Lonchura striata: one gene and its partner. The protein of the gene in region 2 interacts with the protein of the main gene of each other region in a pairwise test. Links are inferred from orthologs where the notes say so. Each region holds a gene or a part of one and is shown on either strand. Other genes may lie near its edges.

Region 1 (9,588 bases), on a different chromosome or scaffold from region 2:
GGCTCAGCTTGGCTCTCTGTACATTGAACAGAACTCTCCCCTCTCAGACATTCACCCCTTATGATGTTACTACAAGATGTTGTAGGGGAAGCAATGCTTGTTCATGTTTCAAAAAACTCTACTCCCTAAACACTCACACTGCTGTGAGAAACAGCCCTGGCAGTCAGGAAAGCAGCAAGGGCAGCAATTCCACTGCCCACCCCCACTCTGGGATGTGTCAAACCCCAGCTGCAGGCAGGACAGGGCTCCTCCACATTGCCCAGTCCCTGCCCCTGACCAGCTGGCTCACCTTAAAGCCTGAGGAAGAGAAGCCACCACAAAATCAGCCCAAAGCTATAAATTTAAGACTGGTAGAGAACTTTCAACAAACAAGAGGTTTCAGGAAGAAACCCTTTCATTAAAAGAGTTTTCCCTCTAAGTACAGTGGCTTTACTCATGGCTCATCATCAGCACCAAAACACACACGACAGAAGCGCCACTCCCACTGCAAAAAGGGAGCGGAAATAAAAAACACTCAGTCACAACTGTATGGAGCCTGAAAGAGCCACACAAAAATCTACTAAACCAACAGAAGTTTTTAAGTCTGTTTTCTCAGTACTGTGGATTTAATGCCATCTACTGCTTTGCTTGTCATTACTTTTCTGAAATTAGCTAAGATTGCCCAAAAACCTGTTCAGAACTTATTATCAGCAGTAAAGTTCAAAACCTCACCTTCACAATGATGCCTGAGAAAACCAACATAAGAATAGCATGCAGAGAAAAGGGATTCAGCATACCAAAAGTGTAGAATAAAGGGAATAAAGGGTCTCTTACCACTGTCCCTTCCTTCCAAAAACTTAGTCTGCATGAGGTGGAGGGTGCCTGTACTTTTTGTTGCTGCAGAGGAAAGGGAGTTGACACACAGGCTCTTCCTTTCAACTGCTAAGAAGCCAAAACTTCACAACTACAGGCAGCCACCAGAACTGGATTCCTCAGCAAGGAACTGTTTGAACAAGCAGCAAAGCAGTGAGGATCTTTGATAAGGTGGTATCTAAACACACTGGAAGCACTAGCAGAAACAAAAGCTTCCTCCACACAGGCTTGGCTCCGAAGCAAAGCCATCATGTCACGTGATACAGCTGTCACTTCATTTTAAAACAAACACTTTAGATTGTCTTAGTTCAGAATCACTCATTATTTCTTTGAAGTGTGTCATATGCACTGAGCACAATAGAAAAGTCCAGTTGGTCATCTACTCAAACTTTACAATATTTAGCAAGAAATCCAAGATATAAAAACAAACAAATACTGAACCGTTATCTATTAATTGAAACAATACAGTGTTAAAGCCACAGGCATTGCCAAAGCTCAGCAGGGCACAGCTGGTACTTCATCACTTCAACCACACACACAAGAATTCCCCATGCTCATTAAGGCTCTAAGAGGATGTTTTATTAGGAGGACAAGATACTGCACATTAATAGGAAATCATCAGATGGACAAACAGCTGCACACAAGGAGAAAACCTAAGCCTAAACTGACATTTCAACATCAGTGCGTGCTCCTGCTAAATACACAAAGAACTAAAAACAGGCAGATCTGAGGGTAGCTTGCCTCATTCAATTTACAAGCATCTAAAGTAGAAATATAAATGGATTCTGTTATTTCCCATATTCAGCTATAGCATCATTTACTTAAAAAAATTAAATCATAGGAGGCAGAACCTCAACAAACCCAGTGACAATCATTAAAGCAAAAATATAAGGAAGAGTTCCATCTCTTACAAATAAAATCCAGCTTAAAAATTGAGAAAATGTTTATATAATAGGAGACAGCAAGTTTCACCTGCTCATTTTTAACACCAGAAACTTAATTATTTCTCATCCATTCACCTTACACCTATGGGCACCAGGAATTTATTAATTTTTAACAGCTTTATTTCCTCTTTCCTGTTTCAAAGCCTGTAGTTTTACAGAGGTACTAAGGGCCTGTGTCTCATCCACAAATCCAAGCAGAAAACTTTAAATACACAAGACAAAGCATGCTGAGTATCACACAGCTGACAATACCCAGAACCAGCTGCTCACTGTTTGAAAACTCAGCTGCATATCCAAGCCCCTTGACTAGGCAAACTAAGTAATAAATTTCTCTGGTAGATTGATTCCTTCCTTTGGTTTTGAAACAGATTCATTAATTATTCTTTAAGATCCATAGGTCAAAACACACAAACCACTTCATTTCAAACCACCTAGCCTTTTTCATGCGCCAGCAGGAGCATCGCTATAATTACTATCTGGAAACTAAACTGGATTAAAGTTGCTTTTCCCCCACACTTTTCCTTTTTTCCTCCAGGTTGACTTTTACTCAGCTTGATTCCTCAGCCCAATTCCCTGTTTGGGTGACACTTGTGCTAGCAGAGAGAGAAGGCAATGCAGGGCAGCACTGCTGACTTCTGCCAGCTAAGCTGCTCGGGGAGCCACAGCTAAATGTCTCCTGGGACTACTTCTAATTCTAGCAGGGACAAATGCCACTGCTGCTCTTCAGCCTAGCATTACTCTCTGCAGGCTGGAGATGCAATTACAGCAACCGTGCTGGGGACACCTAAAACAGAACTCAAGGTTTGTTCTGTGAAAGATTAAGCCACCAACACCTGCTCAGTGCAAGCATAATTTGGATCCTGTCAAGTGACCTGAATACAAAAGGGTTTGAATCTTGACAGTTTTTGAAAATGTCCCTCCCGAGTGTAGCAATTACCTAAATTAGCAGCTCTTGAAGTGTGGTGTTCAAGCTACTGAGCATGGCTTGCAGAACTGGTCTCATTTTTACAGTGTCTTCAATTTAAAGCTGAGACATGCAAAATGCCACAGTGGTTGACAAGAAATGCTGTGAACTGAGATCAGCCTGATCCTATCAAAAATTCAAAAGCCACTTGTCTAAACCAAGATGAACTAATTCACTTCAAACAACCCAAAGAAAAAAAAACCTCAAACTGCACCACACACGTACCCCAGGAGGTGAGCACTCACAGCTCTGCCAGGAGCTGCAGCTGCTGTGCTCAGAGAATCCTCTGTTCACCCACACATCCTTCTTGACCAGGAAGATGAAGCTGCCTGGCTGTACACAGCAGAGTTTGCTCTCCAGCTACTTTCAGGCTTTTGGTAACAATTTCTGAGTCTAATCCAAGCTCTCCTGAGCAATAGGATAGGGCTGGCATATCAGTTTCTTGTTCCCTGCAGAAGGGCAATGAAACTTGTTTGTCTACTTAACCACTACTTGTTACCACTTGGGAAAAGCAACTTGTAGCAAGGAAACCACCACATCTGTCTACACATTGCCCAGCAAAAATACAGCCAAGACTTCTGCTTGTCCAAATATTTGTCTTCCTCTTCAGTCCACATACCAGTATCCCCCACTCAGACAGGAAGCACAAATAACTCCAAAATTAGTTTCTGAAAGCTTAGAACAGGTAATGAAAAAACAGATTTCTAGTAATATATAAGGTACAAAGTAAAATTCTGTATGAAAAGTCCACCTACAACTGAAGATAAGCAAGTAGGCTTATTTCCTTTCTCTCTCTCAATCTAAGGCTAATAATAGTCATATCATAATAATGTTTAAAAAAAAAATAATAATTCCTGGTCAGACTTAACTACAAGTTCAGGGTTTTGTGAAAAACCTGCAGGTACTTCTGCTTTTCCACAAAGGTTCACAGGATAACATGTCCTCTTTGATCAGTACCTGAGCTTTAAGAAGAAGCATTTTTCCCTCTTAAGTTTGAAAAAGACAAATCGGAACCCTTCTAGTGAGAACACTAAGAAGCAAGCAGCAGCTAAACTCTGAGGAAAGGCTAACAATAAACTCCTTTGCAATATAAGCAATCCATGCTCTACCAGGAAATTCAACAGGTAAACCCCCCTCCCCCATATACTAGAGGCTAAAACCAGGCATGTTATCTACTACAATTATTTAAGCCACATAAACACTCTCTCTACTTGTTTATTACGATAAGACCAAGTAGGAAACAGCCTGCACCAGGTGCTGCCCAGGAGGAGGTCTCGGGTGGGGGCAGAGCAGCTGCACAGCTCATCAGAGGCAGCGTCGGGCCGGGCCTCGCTGGCTTCGCCCTGGCGCACCAAAGCTCCAGGAGACGAGAAGCAGCCCCGACAACGCAAGAGAGCAGAATCACAGACTATGCTGAGTGGGAAGGGATCATCAGGATCACCGATTGCAACTCCTGGCCCCGCGCGAAATACCCCAGGAATCCCACCGTGCGCCTGAGAGCGCTGTCCGAGCAACACAACGCGTCTTTCCCACCGAACACCCGGGAGAACTTGGGAGAAGCTGCCTGCTGCCATCTCATCGCATGAGTCTGCAGGACGCGGCCCCGCGGGCGGCACGGGCAGGAGCGCCGGGAGCCGAGGCACGACCCGGCCGCGGCTCCGCCGGCCGCGGGCTGCACCCGGGAACGTTCCCGAGGGGAGCGGCGGGCGCGCCCTGCCCGGCCGGGCTGCCGGGACGGGGATCGCCCGCGGGACAGCCGGGCAGGGCGCCGGGGCACCGGGGCCCTGCGGGGGGCGGCACCGGCCCGCCCGGCCCCGTCCCGCTCGCCACCCGCGGAGCGCCGGGGCCGCCAAGGACGGCAGCGCTCCCGTCCCCGCCGCAACTTTGGGGCAACTTCTCCCCCCAGCCGCCCCTCGCCCCGGCCGTGTCGCTCACCCCCAGATGACATAGTTGGTCTTGACGTTCTTGGGCCAGGAGAACTCTCCGAAGATCACCTCGTCGCCCTTGACCACGATCTCCTTCTTCTGCGTGTTGTACTGCCGCAGCACGCTCAGCACGTCCGCCATCTTCGCCCGGCCGCCGCCGCTCCGGCCGCCGCCGCCCGCCGCAGGACCCCGCCGGCGCGCCCCGGGCTGCCCGCCGCGAATGCCTGAGCCGGCGCCGCCGCGCCGCCTACTTGAGGCGACGCCGGACTCGTTGCCATGGCAGCGGCGCGGGCCCGCCCCGCAGGGAGGGGCGGGGCCGGATGAGGCCACGCCCCTCTGCCCTCACGGCGGAGGCCACGCCCCCTCACGGCGGAGGCCACGCCCCTCTGCCCTCACGGTGGAGGCCACGCCCCTCTGCCCTCACGGTGGAGGCCACGCCCCCCGCCCTCACGGCGGCCCGGGCGGGGCGGGGCGGGGCGTGTGGGGGCGGCTTTGTCCGTCCTGGGCACACGGGGCTTTCTTGTGTCTTATGTGAAAATAGAGCTTCACACACAGTCACTGCCGAAGTCTATCGGCGCTGCTTCTCTTCTCTGGAGCTTTGGTGCTCCCGGCTGCGCCGCGCTCCCCGGGCGCGCTGGGATGGTTTTGGGCGGGGGTAACGAAGGGTTTTGGTGGTGCTGAAGGGGTTTTAGAGGGTGCTGGAAGGGGGTTGGTGGTGCTAACGGGGTTTTAGGAATGCTGGGAGGGATTCGTGGATGCTAAAGCACAACTAAAAGGAGCTTTGGGGATGTTGAGGTTTGAGGGGCGTTTGGGGATGCTAGGATAGCATGTGGTACACCGGGAGGAGTTTTAGCGGGGCTAAAGAGACTTGAGAGGGTGCTCAAAGGGATTTGAGGTGCTAATGGGGCTTTAGGGTGTGCTGGGAGGGGTCTGAGAGAGATAAAATGAGTTTGGAGGTGCTGAGGAGGTTTGAGGGGTGTTGGGGGAGCTGGGATGAGGTATGGTGTACTTGGAGGGGTTTTAGTGACACTAAAGAGGTTTTAAAGGGCCCTGGGAGGGGTTTGGGGGTGTTAAGGGGGTTTTATGTCATCACTCCCAGCCATGTGCCCAGCAGCCTGTGGTTGGTAAGGGCTGGGACAGCAGGGTCACAGGAATACCCCAAGAAAACAGTGTAAAAGGAGCAGAGGGAACAGCAGGAAGCAGTATCAATGAAGTTTATGCTGGACATCAGGAAAAGGCTCCTCACCCAGATGAGGGATGATGGGTTAGGCTCCCCAGGGCAGGTAATGGTCCCAGGCCTGCCGGAGTTCCAGAAGCTTTTAGGCAATGTTTTTAGACACATGCTGGAATTATTAGAGTGTCCTGTGCAGGGACAGGAGTTCAGCTCAATGATCCTTGTGGGTTCCTTCCAACCCAGGATATTCTGTGGCTGATTCTCTCAGACACTGTGCATGCATCTCGCTCTGCAGGCTGGAGAGAAAATCTCCTGGATATAAAGCTGGGTAAAAAAAAAAAAAAAAAGACTGAGAAGTCTCTGCTTTATCAATCACAAAAAAGTCCTTTAATTCTGATAGATATAAGCCGTCAAAAGGCCATAGCAAACAAAAGGTCATTAGGAAAATGTTGCCTGTAAATGTGAAGGACAAACAGTAATGCCATGGAGCACATCCCACATTACCCTGCAGAATCTGGGATCTCTGTTTGCTCACCTGAGCAACTGCACAGCTGCAGCTGGTATGTGCTCTCTCCATGCTCTCTCCATGTTCCAAGTTAATTTCTTCTGCTCAAACACACAAAAACTGGGAGCATAGCATTCCCAGAAGAACCAAACTGGTACCCCCTAGGGAATACTGATTGCAGGATCTGAGACCCCCAAACAAACTCTCATCATGACTTATTCTAACCTTTGATGCTCAGAATTTTTTTAACACTCTTCAACACTGGCAGAAAGCATGATACCGTCTTAGATTTGCAAAAGGCAGAATTGGTTAATTTTCATTCTTGTAAGTAACATGTGCTGAGACTGAGAAAACAGACCAAAAGCCAACAGCCTATAGAATTCCCTGTTTCAGTACATTAGTGATATCCCCATCTGTGTCAGAACAACAACATGCAGAGCACCACAAGTGTATTTAAAACATTTCAGATGTGGTATTGAAATAGTCTAGCACACAAATATGTACTACAACACCCAGTAACATGGTGAATTATACCAATCACTGCCAATGTTTATTTGTCAATGGGTATAGAGTAGTATTTGTGTGTTTAGAAGACAAAGGCATGATGAATAAACAATATCATTTCCTGAACTGGATTTGGAATTATTACTGGAACTACAGCTCATGAAAATTGGAACAGGGCTTGAAATGCTTCCCGCAGGCCAAGTCCCATTTCCATGCCTCATCCAAAAGGCCCAGTGTGTCCCTTAAACCAGTGCTACCTCCTCAGAAACACATCCTATACATCTGCTGCACTACAAGCAATACTTCTTTTCATGGGTTACAATGACCCAAAAAGCCCCTCATTTCAGTTCTGCCCAATCTGCTGCTCAGGGAGCAGGGAATGGTGCAGTGAACAGTCAGCTGCACACACAGCTACAAAGAGATTTACTTTCAGGTTTCCAGAAAACGTTGTGGTTCTGGTTTCCTTTTTCATTTAAGGCTGCCTTCACTGGGAGAACACTGAAAAAGAAAGCTGAGCAAGAAGGAGTCTGTGTGCTGGCAGTAGCTCAGGAGGGACAAGCTGCCTGCACCCTTAGGAGCAGCATCCCTGCAGGAGCCCGGCGTGCTGCTCTGGGAGCAGGGAACAAAGCAGGGAGCAGCAGGGAGAGAGTTGGTCTCGCCCTGCTGAAATCAATGCAGATAGGAAACAAAGGATGGAGTGGCACAGGGGTGCCGTGGTCATGCTCTGGCAGGAACAATGCAGGTAACAGGAACTAAGCCAAAGGAATGACCCAAGCCGTGCCCCAGCTTTGTGTCAATACCCCCCATATATGCTCATTACTAAAATCAAGCTCCACTTCAATGGCAAATTATGTCAGACATAACTTCACCTTCTCCTGCCACTCACTGAAAACAATATAAATACAGCTTTAGAGGTAAGGGAGGTCGGAGGAGACTCCATCTCTGTATCCTGGCACTGTCAGAGGGCTCTAGCTAGCTCCTCCCCACAGGGACACCTACTGGGTCAGACTCCAGCACTCGGCTATACCAGGTAAGCACCTCGGGAAATTCAGAAAGCCAGCCTGTGCTTGTGATCATACTCTTAGTGCTACACTGGCATCTCCCATCTGACTGTGCTTGTGGCTGGCTGTATGGTTCACATTCGTGGGCTCACACACACCTCTGCACACAGGGGACTCACCACGGGCTGGGCTGGGCTGGGAGGAACTCCAAAGGTCAGCTCTTTCCAGTGCCACACCACCTCTGCATGTCTGCTGCGGAACTGCCCACGGCTCAGAAGCTAAACCCAGCTGTCCCAGTCCCTCTGATATCTGAGGAACAGCTGGGATGCCAGGGGGGTGATTTTCTGCCAAATTTAATGCAAAAATATAGTGGGTTTACTCTTAACATGCCGCTTCAACTGGGAGTGTACAAAATAGTTCCCACAGTTTGCTTTGGGAATCATAGTGACACAATTAACCAGCATTTAAATCATTGAATCAGGATTTGATGTGAAACTATTTTCATGTGGCATTAGATACCTGAGAGTTTATCAGCTTTATCACAGAACATTGGGCTACAAAATCATTATCTGAAATGGGCAAGTAAGTTACCATTTAGAAAAATGAAAGTATATTACATGGATACAATGTTTCACTTGCATTTTCTCACTACTTTAACAGGTTACACTGATGTTTTGTAGGAAAGCAAAATTAAGTTGCAAAATATTAGACAAATTTACATCATAGGTAAGTTCATTTAAGATTAATCAACATCCAGAAAGATACATCATGCATGAGCACACACTCCCTTTTTTACAGACACATATGAGCAAAAACAAATCAGCACATGAGTGCATTTCCTTGCAGCATTTTTTAAAACATAGGGCTGAGCACTGAACTGTTGCTGTTCGCACTGAACAGTGATCCAGAGCACAATTTACTCTCAACACAGAGGGATTAGAAAAGTTTCTCCACTACTGAAATACTTGTACAGACCCCAGAGGGGCTGCTCAGAGGATATTCCACAGGAGTGCTCTGCCAGGGACACGTATTTGACCAGGCTCCACAGCAAGATATGTGGGGGTGAAATAACAGAATATTGTTGAATAGCTTCTACTGAGGAAATAAAAGGAAATAAAATACCCAACGCCTCCACATAAAGTAAGACCTCTCTTTTTTTTTTTTTTTCCATGAGCCACTAAAAACATTCCACACATTACATGATTAGCCAATTCCACTAACAAACTTCCCAGGTACCAAGAGCAGCTCTTCATCCCCCACCCATTATTTACTCCGTCCCCAACTCCTGTTTCACTGGTCAGTTTCTGACCGAGGAACTGCAAGGCAGGAAAGAAACGTGAGGAAGAACAGGCAACAGAAACGGGGACGGAGAAGACTTAAAGTAAGTTTGACACTGGACAAAGCAAAGGCAGCGCTGAAACCCTCACATCAGGAAGCCAGCCGGGCAGGAGGCCAAATCTGCCCAACTTCCCCACACCAGGAGCGGCTCCGCGGCCTCAGGGAAATCCAGCCCCTCTTCATGGCTCTCCCGACCCCATCCTGGGAAAGCCGCCCCATCCCGTGCTGCCCCTGTGCTGGCCCTGTCCCCGTGCTGTCCTTGTCTCCGTAATGTCCCTGTCCCCGTGCTGTCCCTGTCCCTGTGCTGTCCCTGTCCCCGTGCTGTCCCTGTCCCTGTCCCTATCTTCGTCCCTGTCCCTGTCCCCGTGCTGTCCCTGTCCC
Region 2 (10,543 bases):
CCTAGGAACCAAAGCAGTGACTGGCAGTTTAGGATTTTCTGTATGACTGGATAAACCCCAGAGGTACCCCAAGACAACCCCTACAGCACTGTATACTTTGAGACCTAAAACACAGATGATTTGAGGACTAATTGCCCTAGAAGCAGAGAGGAGGCTTTGATGGCAACTTACCATCCATTGAATGAACAGTTTCAAATGCAACAATTTTAGGGGTGGATGGATCAGACTTTTTCAATAGCTCTCGGAGATGGTTGACATCATTATGGCGAAATATATGTTTTGGCACCCTGCTGTTACAGATCCCCTGGATCATGGAGGCATGGTTTCCAGAATCAGAGTAGATCTCACAACCTGAGGAAAATAGGTTACAAGCCCAGTTACATTTTAAGTATGGAACACATTAACTGATTCCTAGCATTGCATTACGTATGGCAAGAGCTCAGGAAACAAGGGTAGTTTGTTCTTGAAAGTAATGCTCTTGATCAAAAGAGCAAGTTACAGATCATGGAAGCAAGAATAATATTTGAGATTTATTTTAGGTATTCAAACTAACATAAATGAGAGCTTGAGAAAATAGTTATCAAACTCTCCTAACTTCTGAAGTGAGAGAGAAGTTCACCCCTTCCAGTGGAAGGACACTAAATTCCTGCTGTCTTATTTTCAGGTAGAGTTTAAACACAAGAACAGAAGACTCAGCTGGTGTAATTCCTCAAGGAGTTCACACCTCATAGATCTCAATCTCAGTAGGTTGATATTGTCATTTGTACTGAATGTAACTTGAATTTGGTATTAAAACCAGGAAACCATACTCTGCCCATGGGTTAGGGCAAATCCTCACTTTGGACAGCCATTTGCAAAACATACTCCCAACAGCTTGAGGCAAGGCTGTGTTTTTGTGGCAACACAGGTACAATTTGAGATCTTACCTGGCAGCATTTTAGCTAGAGTGAAGAGAGTGGAGTCATTGGCTACAAAGCAAGATGAGAACAACAGTGCTGCATCTTTTCCATGAAGATCAGCTAGTTCTTTTTCCAAGTCAACATGAAATTTACTTGTTCCTGATATGTTTCTGGTGCCTCCTGCTCCAGCACCATGTTGTTTCAGTGTTTCCCTAAAGAGGGCCAAAGAGAGGCATTAGCATTGCTGTGGGACACACAGAAGAGTAAAGGGTCACTGCTCAAAACATTCTGGTACATAATCAAGACTGTTCTAAAGAAGAACTGGCAGCAAAAAGCAGCTGTTGAGTCTCAGAGCAACCTGCACACTCAGGAGTCCATTAAGGTCAGATGTCAGTGACCAAGCACAGCTGGTATACCATCCAGTTTATCTGGCAACATCTGGGGCTTTTAAGGAAGATCCAAGGAGCACCATCAGTGACCAATATACACAGTGCAGGCCTGGATCTAAACATTAAGTGACCACCCAATAAACAAGTGTAATCTTAACTGCACAGCAAGAATCGCATCAGAAGCATCTTATGTCCCACAGTATAGAAATCAGCTTTTCAGAAGCCTTCCCACAAGATACAGCTTGAAAACACCTCTTAAGAACACAGCACCACTCACATAACTGCTCCACAGACCCGAGGGTGGCGGCTCATGCCCAGGTAGTCATTGCTGCACCAGACAGACACCTCCTTCTTGGTGATCAGGGAATCAGTGTAGTCGTCTGCCATGGGGAAGATCTGCGCCTTCCTGTTCACAGTCTTGAACACTCGGTAGGTGTGATCCTTCTTCTTCTCATCTATCTTCTTCTCAAAGAACTGATCGTACTGGAAGGTGGATACAGCTGAAAGGAGACAGACTTCAGCACACAGGAAATTATCACAACAGCCCAGGCCTCTGGGGGGTTTGCCAGACATTCTTACATTTTGGCAAATTATCCTGAAGCAGATGAGAGACACTTTCCGGTTTTTGCTTCAGCACAATATCCTTAAACTTCTTGAGCAAGCCACTCTGCTCTGCTCCCTCACTCTCAATCTTTCTCACTGTTGAAGTACTCGGGATTTTGGTAAATTCCGTACCTACAGATATTGGAATAAATTCCAGTGAATTTGTTTGGTTTGAAACAGAGTGAAGTAAGTTGAATTCAGCAAAGCAAACATTTAAAGTAAAACCAACATTTCAATCTTTAGGAAGGACATGTCCAAAATCCCACGTTGATCCTGCTAGGATGAACTATTTTATTTGCTTACAAATTTGCCTTTGACAAGACAGAAGGATTAGCCTTGCTAATCAATCACAATACAACAGGCAAATTCCTTATAAAGTATATGGTTCATCATGACTCAAAGAACCACACTATACAGCTACAGCACTCATCTGAAAGGATTCCATACACACCTAATGGAAGGCAGAGTTCTAGTCAGCCGCTTCCTTTTTGTCTATTAGCACAGATTTTTAAACTATGCCACAAGAGGCAAACAAAAGTAAAACAAGCCTTCTGAGACAGGCAGCAGGGCTTTACTGAAACTGCTGAGAAGTTCCTTCCTTTGAAGGACAGCCCTTCCACACTACCACTGCAAGCCAGCCAACATTCTTTAATTCCATAAGCACCAAAACACCACCCCAAAACCACTTGCCTGCTTTTCAAGCTTGGATTTGTGCTGGTACTTGCCTGGTGTCTCGACACTGTGAACCATCTTTGGATATAAAACCTTTATCTAAACCAGCACTCTGGCAAAGCTCTCTTCAGATCTAAGCATCTGCTTGGGTGCAAGTGTAACAGCTTGACTCACACATCTAGAGCCAGCCAGCACATCAAAATACAGCTCATGGTATTCCCACATCAAAATCACCCAGGGAAGCCCCACACAACGTCACAGGTATGTCATTAACACCTACATTCTCCAGCAGCTCTTCCCTGCCGTCTCCCATAATCCCAGCTGCATCATTTCAGCGGTGCCGGCAGACCTGGCACGCTCCAGATGCAAGTCAGGCACCAGAGGCTCTCGGGAAGAATCACTGCTTCAGTGCACAGAGAACATACCTTTCCTGTCAGCCTGCACTTCCTGCACATCCTCCTGCAGTTCCAGGCTGGCTTTGCAGAAAACGTTGCTCTTCTTGTGATTCATCTGAGCTGCCAGGAACGGGCACTTGGTAGCCGTACTCTGGCTAGCACTGGCAGGTGGGTGGCCAGCAGGAAGCTGGGTTCCATCTGCATTCTGCTGGGCCACTTCTTTGACATTTTTGGCCTCTGAGATGGGGGCAGAGAAGGTAAAACAATTCAGCTTCATCATTTTAATACCCTGACTTTAGTTTTTTGATCCATTACTTTTGCAATTAATTTGCCAGGACCTATTCAGAACTATTTAACTGAGCAGTCGTATTTTATTTACACAAGTGCAAAATCCCAGTTAACACCCAAGGGACATCTGATTTAAGATGCTAGATCTAGCACTGTACTCTTTGAGGGGCAGAAATACCTCACTCCCAATGGGAATATTTAAGGAAAGACTGGATATGGCAGTAAGTGCTATGTTTAGTTGACATAGTAGTGTTCAGTCATAGGCTGGACTAGACCTCAGAGGTCTTTTCTAACCTAACTGTGATTCTGTGACCTTCTTTCAGGCACTTCAGAGATTTTTCAGCCATGCAGCTTCTGCTCTGAGCCTCAAATCCTTCCTCTGAGTGCCCGGGGAAGAATTCCCCAAGGAATGTTCCCGGGTGGCGAGAAGGGCCAGTGTACCGTGAGAAACACCGCTCGGAGACCCAGGATCCCGGATCCCCACCCGGGGCTCGCCTCGGGACGCCCCTCGGGATCAGGCGGTCCCTGACTCGTGCCACGGCCACACATTTCCTTTACCGCGGACATTTCAAGGATTAAGCAACCCCTCAGCCTCAGCGCTGCCTATTCCAGAAGCTTCCCCCCGAGACATGCAATGTCTGTGTCATTTTTCCCCCCCCGAGACATGCAATGTCTGTGTTATTTTTCCCCCCCGAGACATGCAATGTCTGTGTTATTTTTCCCCCCCGAGACATGCAATGTCTGTGTCATTTTTCCCCCCCGAGACATGCAATGTCTGTGTCATTTTCCCCCCTCGGCTCGCTCCCCGGCCGTACTCACCGCGGCCCGCGGGGCTCTCCTCCTCCGCCTGCTGCCCGCGGGCGGCGGACGTGGCGAGGGCGCGGGCGGCCGGCGGGGCCGCCTCCATCATGCGCGGGCAGTGCTGGGCGTACAGCAGCAGCGACGGCCCAGCCTTCTGCAGGAACGCCTGGGACACACGGGCCAGGAACGGGCAGCGCCGCACCACCGCCTCCATCCTCGCAGTCGGACGGGACACCGGAGGTGACGGCAGAGCAGCACCGGCGACGGGAGGCGGCACCGCGCGGCGCTCCCGCACCGCCGCCTTTATAGAGCCGGGGGCGCGGCGCAGGCGCGGGGAGGAGCGGGGCGGCGCCCGGCGGCTCTGGGGCGGTGTGAGGGACCTCGCCGGGTCGTGGGACGGCGGGAGCGGCCCGAGGACAGGGAGAGACCGCGGGGGCGTGAGGGGCTGGAGGCATCGCGGCCCCTGGCGCCCGTGAGGGCTGGGGCGGTGTGGAGCCGTGGGGGAGCTGGGGCGCTGTGAGGTGTGCGGGACGCTGAGCGCTGCCGCGGTGAGGGCACGGCGGCGCTTGGGTCCTGCCGGGGGCTGTGAGGGGAGGGGGCAGCCCGCCCTGCCGGGGGCCGTGAGGGGATGGGGCAGCCGGTCCTGCCGGGGGCTGTGAGGGGAGGGGGCAGCCGGCCCTGCCGGGGGCCGTGAGGGGATGGGGCAGCCCGCCCTGCCGGGGGCCGTGAGGGGATGGGGCAGCCCGCCCTGCCGGGGGCCGTGAGGGGAGGGGGCAGCCCGCCCTGCCGGGGGCCGTGAGGGGATGGGGCAGCCCGCCCTGCCGGGGGCCGTGAGGGGAGGGGGCAGCCGGCCCTGCCTGGGGCCGTGAGGGGAGGGGGCAGCCCGCCCTGCCGGGGGCTGTGAGGGGAGGGGGCAGCCCGCCCTGCCGGGGGCTGTGGGCATGGGCCGCTGCTCGGGGTGCCCCGCAGCCCCGGGCTCTGCCGTGCTTGTCTCCCGGGAGGTTTGGGCTCCCTTGCCCGCAGGACAGGAGACTCGGGGTCAGCCCAGCGCGCCGGGGAAAGGCGAGCTCTGAGTCAGCTGGGGGAAATCCAGTGTTGCTCGGTGTTTTATTCCTAAATGCGCTCCTGACTGCCTGCAGAGCCCCTGCCCTGGGGCTCAGGTGGTGGTGGTGGGATCCTGAGCTCCTCTCACTTTTCCTACAGCTGGTACTAATCTTCAGCTCCTCTGTAGATGATGCTCAGACTTTCACCATTGCATTTTTGCCGGGTTTTAAAAGAAAGAACAACAGCAACAAATAAAATAGAAGCCTTCGTTCTCTGGTTTGCAATGGACATTAAAGCTTGTTTGCTTACAAGAGTATTTGGTGGGAAGCTTAATGCTAAGGGGAGTTCTCATGCGTATGGCCATTCAAACCACGGCAGTGCTACTTCCTGTAAGCACTGACTGCTCAAGTGTGGAAAGAATGGAGAAGGAAAAACGACAACGCATTTTTTCCCTCATCTTGTGAAACAATTTCACGGAAGACAGGATTTGGGTAGAGAGCCAAGAGCTGTCTTGGGCACTTTGGGGCAGGAGTGGGTTTTGTAACAGGTGTGGAGTTGGGAGGAGAACTTTCTTAAAGGTCACTCTTGGCTCTTGCCCTGCATGAAGTCACATTGTGTAGTTACTAGAAGGTGCTCATGTAGCATGACTAGAGCAATAAAAGCCTGTGTAGGACTGTGGCTGCTGAACACAAATTTGGCTATAAGAAAACACTGCTAAAAGTGTTGGTTAGCATTTAGGTATTGCAGATTAATCTTTAATCTGGGAGACAACCAGCAAGGTATTTGCCTGACCCTCTTTTATTCTCCACTGACTCACTTTGAGGATGCCGCATGCAGTTTGTAAACTTTGGGATCTGAGTAAATTGGTCAGGAGGGAAACCTCATAGTCAAATGTCAGATTTTATGTCAGCTCTACTGTGTTACTAAGCTCTGAGGCAGGAAATGGGACAGAATTCTGCCCTTCATGTACTACTTACAAAGCCCTGAAAAAGTTAGCTGGAGTTCTACAAGGTAGGGTGTGAGATTTGGGTTTTAGTGGGGCTTTAGTAGGTGTGTTTTAAGCAGAATTTGCTTCTTGCTTATTAGAAATTTAAGACAATGTTACAGGAGAAGCCTCAATGCTCAGATCTTAACTCAGTATTTGCCAGTGTGATGCATAATTGGCATCATTAAACCAGATATGTGCTAGTTTTAATTTGTTCTGTAGATAAATTATTAAAGCAGGGCAGTGGTATTTGACCTCAGCCTCTGTAGAAGTTATGGTAGCAGGAGTCCTGATCATTTGGTAGTTCCAGGGTAGTGTTTTGAATTATTATTTCAGTTGCGTATTAATAATTTATTTTTGGGTTTTTTCCCTCCCACCACCGTGTTTTGGCTAGTGTTACATACCTCAAGCATCTAGCAAAATAGTAAGTTTAAAGACACCTGATCTTTGTTTCAGATTACTGCTGTCCTCTTTTCCTGGAACAGCAGCATTTGACTCTCTACCCTGAAGTTTTGTATCACATCAGTTATTCTAAAGATTGAGGGGACATCATGGCATTCTAACTTGTGGATACCTGACAAGTGTCCTTAGAGCACAGTTAATGTGTCTGGGCCTAAGGGATCACTCCTGTGCCCCTGGGGTTAATTGCAGTTTTAGCAACAGAAATCAAGTCCTATAAGCTTGATTTATAGTATATTGAGAGCATTTTTCTTTCTCCTCCTATTTTTCCCTTAATAATCATCCATCATACTTAGCTCTGAGGGAATGTGTGTTTTGTTGTAAGAGGCACCAGAGAAAGGTGTTGTGCAAATGAGCACAAATCTGCTGCAAGAGGCTGCAGAGCTTGTCTGCCTGGACACCTGCCACAGCAGGTTAGATCCCTCAGAAATCTGATAATCCTCCTTTATCCTGGTAATCTGAACAGCAGCATCTTGCCACGTTGTAGGGCTGGGGGATGAAGTGTGTTAGTCTGCTTGGTTGCTGGAATTCAGAGACTGGTGGGTTTGTATTCAGCAGTGCATGTGAAGCCTGAAGAGCATCTGCTTTTTACACAAGCGTCATTCAAGGCTGGCAGCTGAGACACGGTGACCTTGGCTACGATCTGGAGATCTCCAAATGGAGCAGAACTCTCAGCTTTCCTGTCAGACTCCCCTCCAATCTGTGCTGTTCATCAAACACTGCAACAACACTTCTTTTAAACTTGGTTTTGGTGAATGTATTTAACCTTGTACTTGACAGGAATTGCGCAGAGCAGCGGAACGATGTTAACTTGACCCTCATCTTGGAGGGTGCTGTCCTTGTCAGTGCACGAAGTTGGCTGGAGCTCTGGGAGCAGCAGAGCAGGGAAAAGTCAGAAAAAGGGTGTCTTGTCAACTGCTCTGCCAGTGCCCTTCCTCCCTTTGGAAATACTGTCAGAGCTTACATGTTGAAGGTGAGGTAAATACTAATAAAGCCACGGTTAATTAAAATTTCTTAGGGCTTCAGTGGATTAATTAAACGGTGTTTAAGGATGTGAATTGTGGCAGTGTATTACTGCCATCCTAGAACGCTGTTTGCCGTGCTGCAGGAGGAGCACAGTGTGCAGCAGGGCCAGTGGCAGCCCAGAAGAGAACAGGGAGCCCATCCTGAGAGAGAAGAAGCAGGCTTAGATTGGAGAGAGGCAGCAGGTCCAGCAGGCAGGGGAGAAGGAATGGCTGCTTGGTACTACAGAAAGGGCAGAGTAACGTAATAAAGGAGGAAAAGCGTTTAAGCAGAGGGGGTAGCACTGATGTGAGAACAGATTTGTTCAGCTGGCCCTGACAAAATGTAGGGCAGAAGGTGAGTAGTTCCTTGCTGTGTTTTGGAGCAGCTTTTAGAGCTGGTCCCTGAGACCAGATGGATTGAGTTGAGGAAGCTCAATCTGCCTGAAAGGCCCATGTGTTGCAGTGGCAGAGGAAGAGAAGGGAAGACTCAGCTATCCTGAGAGCCTCTGCTGCTTTTAGTTTCCTAAAGCCCATTCTGTTCTGATGATTTGTTATTTTCTTAGCTAAATAAAAGTTAAGGGAAAACAAGGTTAAATTCCAGCAGTTTGGTGGATGAGAAGCCACAGAAAGTGCTTCCCACAGAGAAATTGAAATGGGGAAAATTCCCTTTAATGTCTGCAGATGTCTATGAAGTGTTGCTGATGAACATGGTCTCTTTCCATGTTGCTGGTTTACCATGTATGGTCATCTGTAAATTACCTTGAATACTTCCCTCCCATCCCTCTTCTCTCAAGCATGTTTTCCCCAGTATTCCTGGAAGCAGAACTTGGTTCACAGGTTTGTAGCATCCATCTGCCCTTGCATTTGTCTGCAGGTAGCTCCTTTCAAAGCATTTTCATTAATTTTATGCTTTGAAGAGAGCATTTAGATATTTAGCAGAAAAGCGAAGGTCAGAGCCCTTCTGCATTCAGCCTGTTCAAATGAAAGGCTATAACTGCACCATAATTAGCAACATTTAATCCCTTTTGCCCACTTCTGAAGTCAGGGCTGTGCATATTCCTAATTTTTTCCCATCCTGTCAGTGTCAGAGAGGGCAAGCCAGAAAAACAATTCCCCCTCCCCATGCACAAACCCTACCCTTGTCTATATTGAGATCTGAATTTTCTGAGGGAGTGGGTGTGATCCTGACATCTGGATTTAATCCAGACTCAGATTCCAGGCTTCATTTGAGAACTTCCACCTCCGGTCCTGAGACCAGCAGTTCTTACAGAGGATTTACTTTATTTACCTTTTAAGGCAAAATTGGAGGCTTGTCATAGCAGCTGCATAGTGACAGTTCTGATGGTGAATTTCTTTAACACGTTTCCTGATTTGGAGCCAGTGTCTTCACAGGACAGAACAGGAAATCACATTCCTTTCTAGGACCCTCTAAACAGCAGAGACTTTGAGCAAGCTGGAGGAGCTGCTGGATGCTGACGCTCGTGTTGCAGAGTGGCTGAGCAGCACCCCTGAATCACTGACACAGGCCAGGCAAGATCCATACCCCTCTTATACAAAAGAAAATGAGTTGTTTTGTTCCCTACTGTAGTGGATCTCCTAAAATTCATGGACTGCTGGTGGGCCCTCACAAGGCTGTTGGGTCAGGGCACTTTTCTTGTCTGCCAGGCCCCAGGAGCTGCCCATTGCTGCAGAGGAGTTTGGTTTCCTGGCCAAGTCCCATCCCAGCAGCGTGAGTCAGGCTCAGTCTGGGCAGTGGAAGCTGTTGCCACCCTAATACAAGGTACCTCACTGTCCCACTGAAGGGCACCACCCCACACTGCTGCTGCAGTCCACAGCCCAGCTGATTAACACATCCAGCAGTGGCTTATCCTAAGTCCAGAATATCTCCCTGACATCTCTCATGTTGCTTCAGATGTGGACAATCACATAATAATATTTTTTTTTATCTTGCACTGTTGAGTTTATCTTGCTTTGTGCAGCACATAGCAGGAAATGATGCACTAATCCTTCCAGCTACTGTGCTTTGCTGCACTTGCCATGACTTGCCTCCACACCCTCATTTCCTCCTCTCACACAGTTTTCCTCCTTTTACAAAGAACTAGTAGACCTCAACCAATATAATTTTAGTTATGGTTATTGAAGTTATTCAGCCTGTCACTTTTCTTGCATATCTCGGCTCTCCCTGTTCCTCGTTAGGTACTCAGTCAGAAAGAGCACCTTCTACATCCAGTTTAGGAGCTTGAAGTCTACTCAACAGAGTAGAAAATGTGAATTCAAGTACTTCCTATATTGAAGGTGTGAGAGAGTGGGGAAAGGACTTTGATCTTTAGTCAGAGCTCTCTATAGAAATCTGGAACTGGGGTTTCCAGAAAGTATTTAGACAGATCGTCTGCTGCACGCTATATAGGAAGGACAGCTGTCAGAGGACAGAATTGAGTGAATTTAAATGCTTTAGGCCCAGAAAGACACTCAAGTCATGCTTATGTAGTAAAACACCTTTGCTATACCAGGCATCTCTAGTGAGAGTCCCTTATGTTGCTTATACCTATGCTGTTGTGGGCTTTGGCAGGCAGGTTGAAGTCAAAGCAGAAAGGGGATTGTCCAAGTCCTCGAAAACAAGAAATCAACCTATGGCAGTGAAAAATGCTGTGCTGGAGCCTATGGGCTCTCTCCCTTAAAGCAATGTTAGGAGTTTTCTGTCGGGAAGATTGCTAGAAAGCAAGCAGCAGACCTTTTTCTCTCCCTCTTGTCCTCTAAAAATGTGCTGGTTTTGGCTGGGATAGAGTTCGTTTTCTTCATAGCAGCTTGTGTAGTCTGTGCTTTGGATTTCTGATTAAAACAGTGATGATAACAGAGGGACTTTCAGTCATTGCTGAACAGTGCTTGTGCAGTGTCAAGGGCTTTTCTGTTTCTCACACTGCCCTGCCAGCAAGTAGGCTAGGGGCACACAAGAAGTTGGGAGGGGACAACCCCAACTGAGCAGAGAGATATTCCACACCATATG

What was found.
Region 1: the proteins of ALAS1 (region 2) and CDC73 interact in a two-hybrid assay, tested with the Homo sapiens proteins (3 studies listed by BioGRID and IntAct). The two-hybrid records come from large-scale screens. The link is inferred for Lonchura striata from reciprocal best matches to the Homo sapiens genes ALAS1 and CDC73.

What each region holds. Positions count from the first base shown.
Region 1 is NC_134611.1:27,286,010-27,295,597, forward strand, and holds the start of CDC73 (parafibromin), read right to left. Parts: upstream 4,875-9,588; 5' UTR 4,827-4,874; coding exon 4,696-4,826; intron 1-4,695.
Region 2 is NC_134614.1:9,951,686-9,962,228, reverse strand, and holds the start of ALAS1 (5-aminolevulinate synthase, non-specific, mitochondrial), read right to left. Parts: upstream 4,342-10,543; 5' UTR 4,262-4,341; coding exon 4,066-4,261; intron 3,196-4,065; coding exon 2,989-3,195; intron 2,024-2,988; coding exon 1,868-2,023; intron 1,789-1,867; coding exon 1,566-1,788; intron 1,112-1,565; coding exon 927-1,111; intron 352-926; coding exon 172-351; intron 2-171; coding exon 1-1.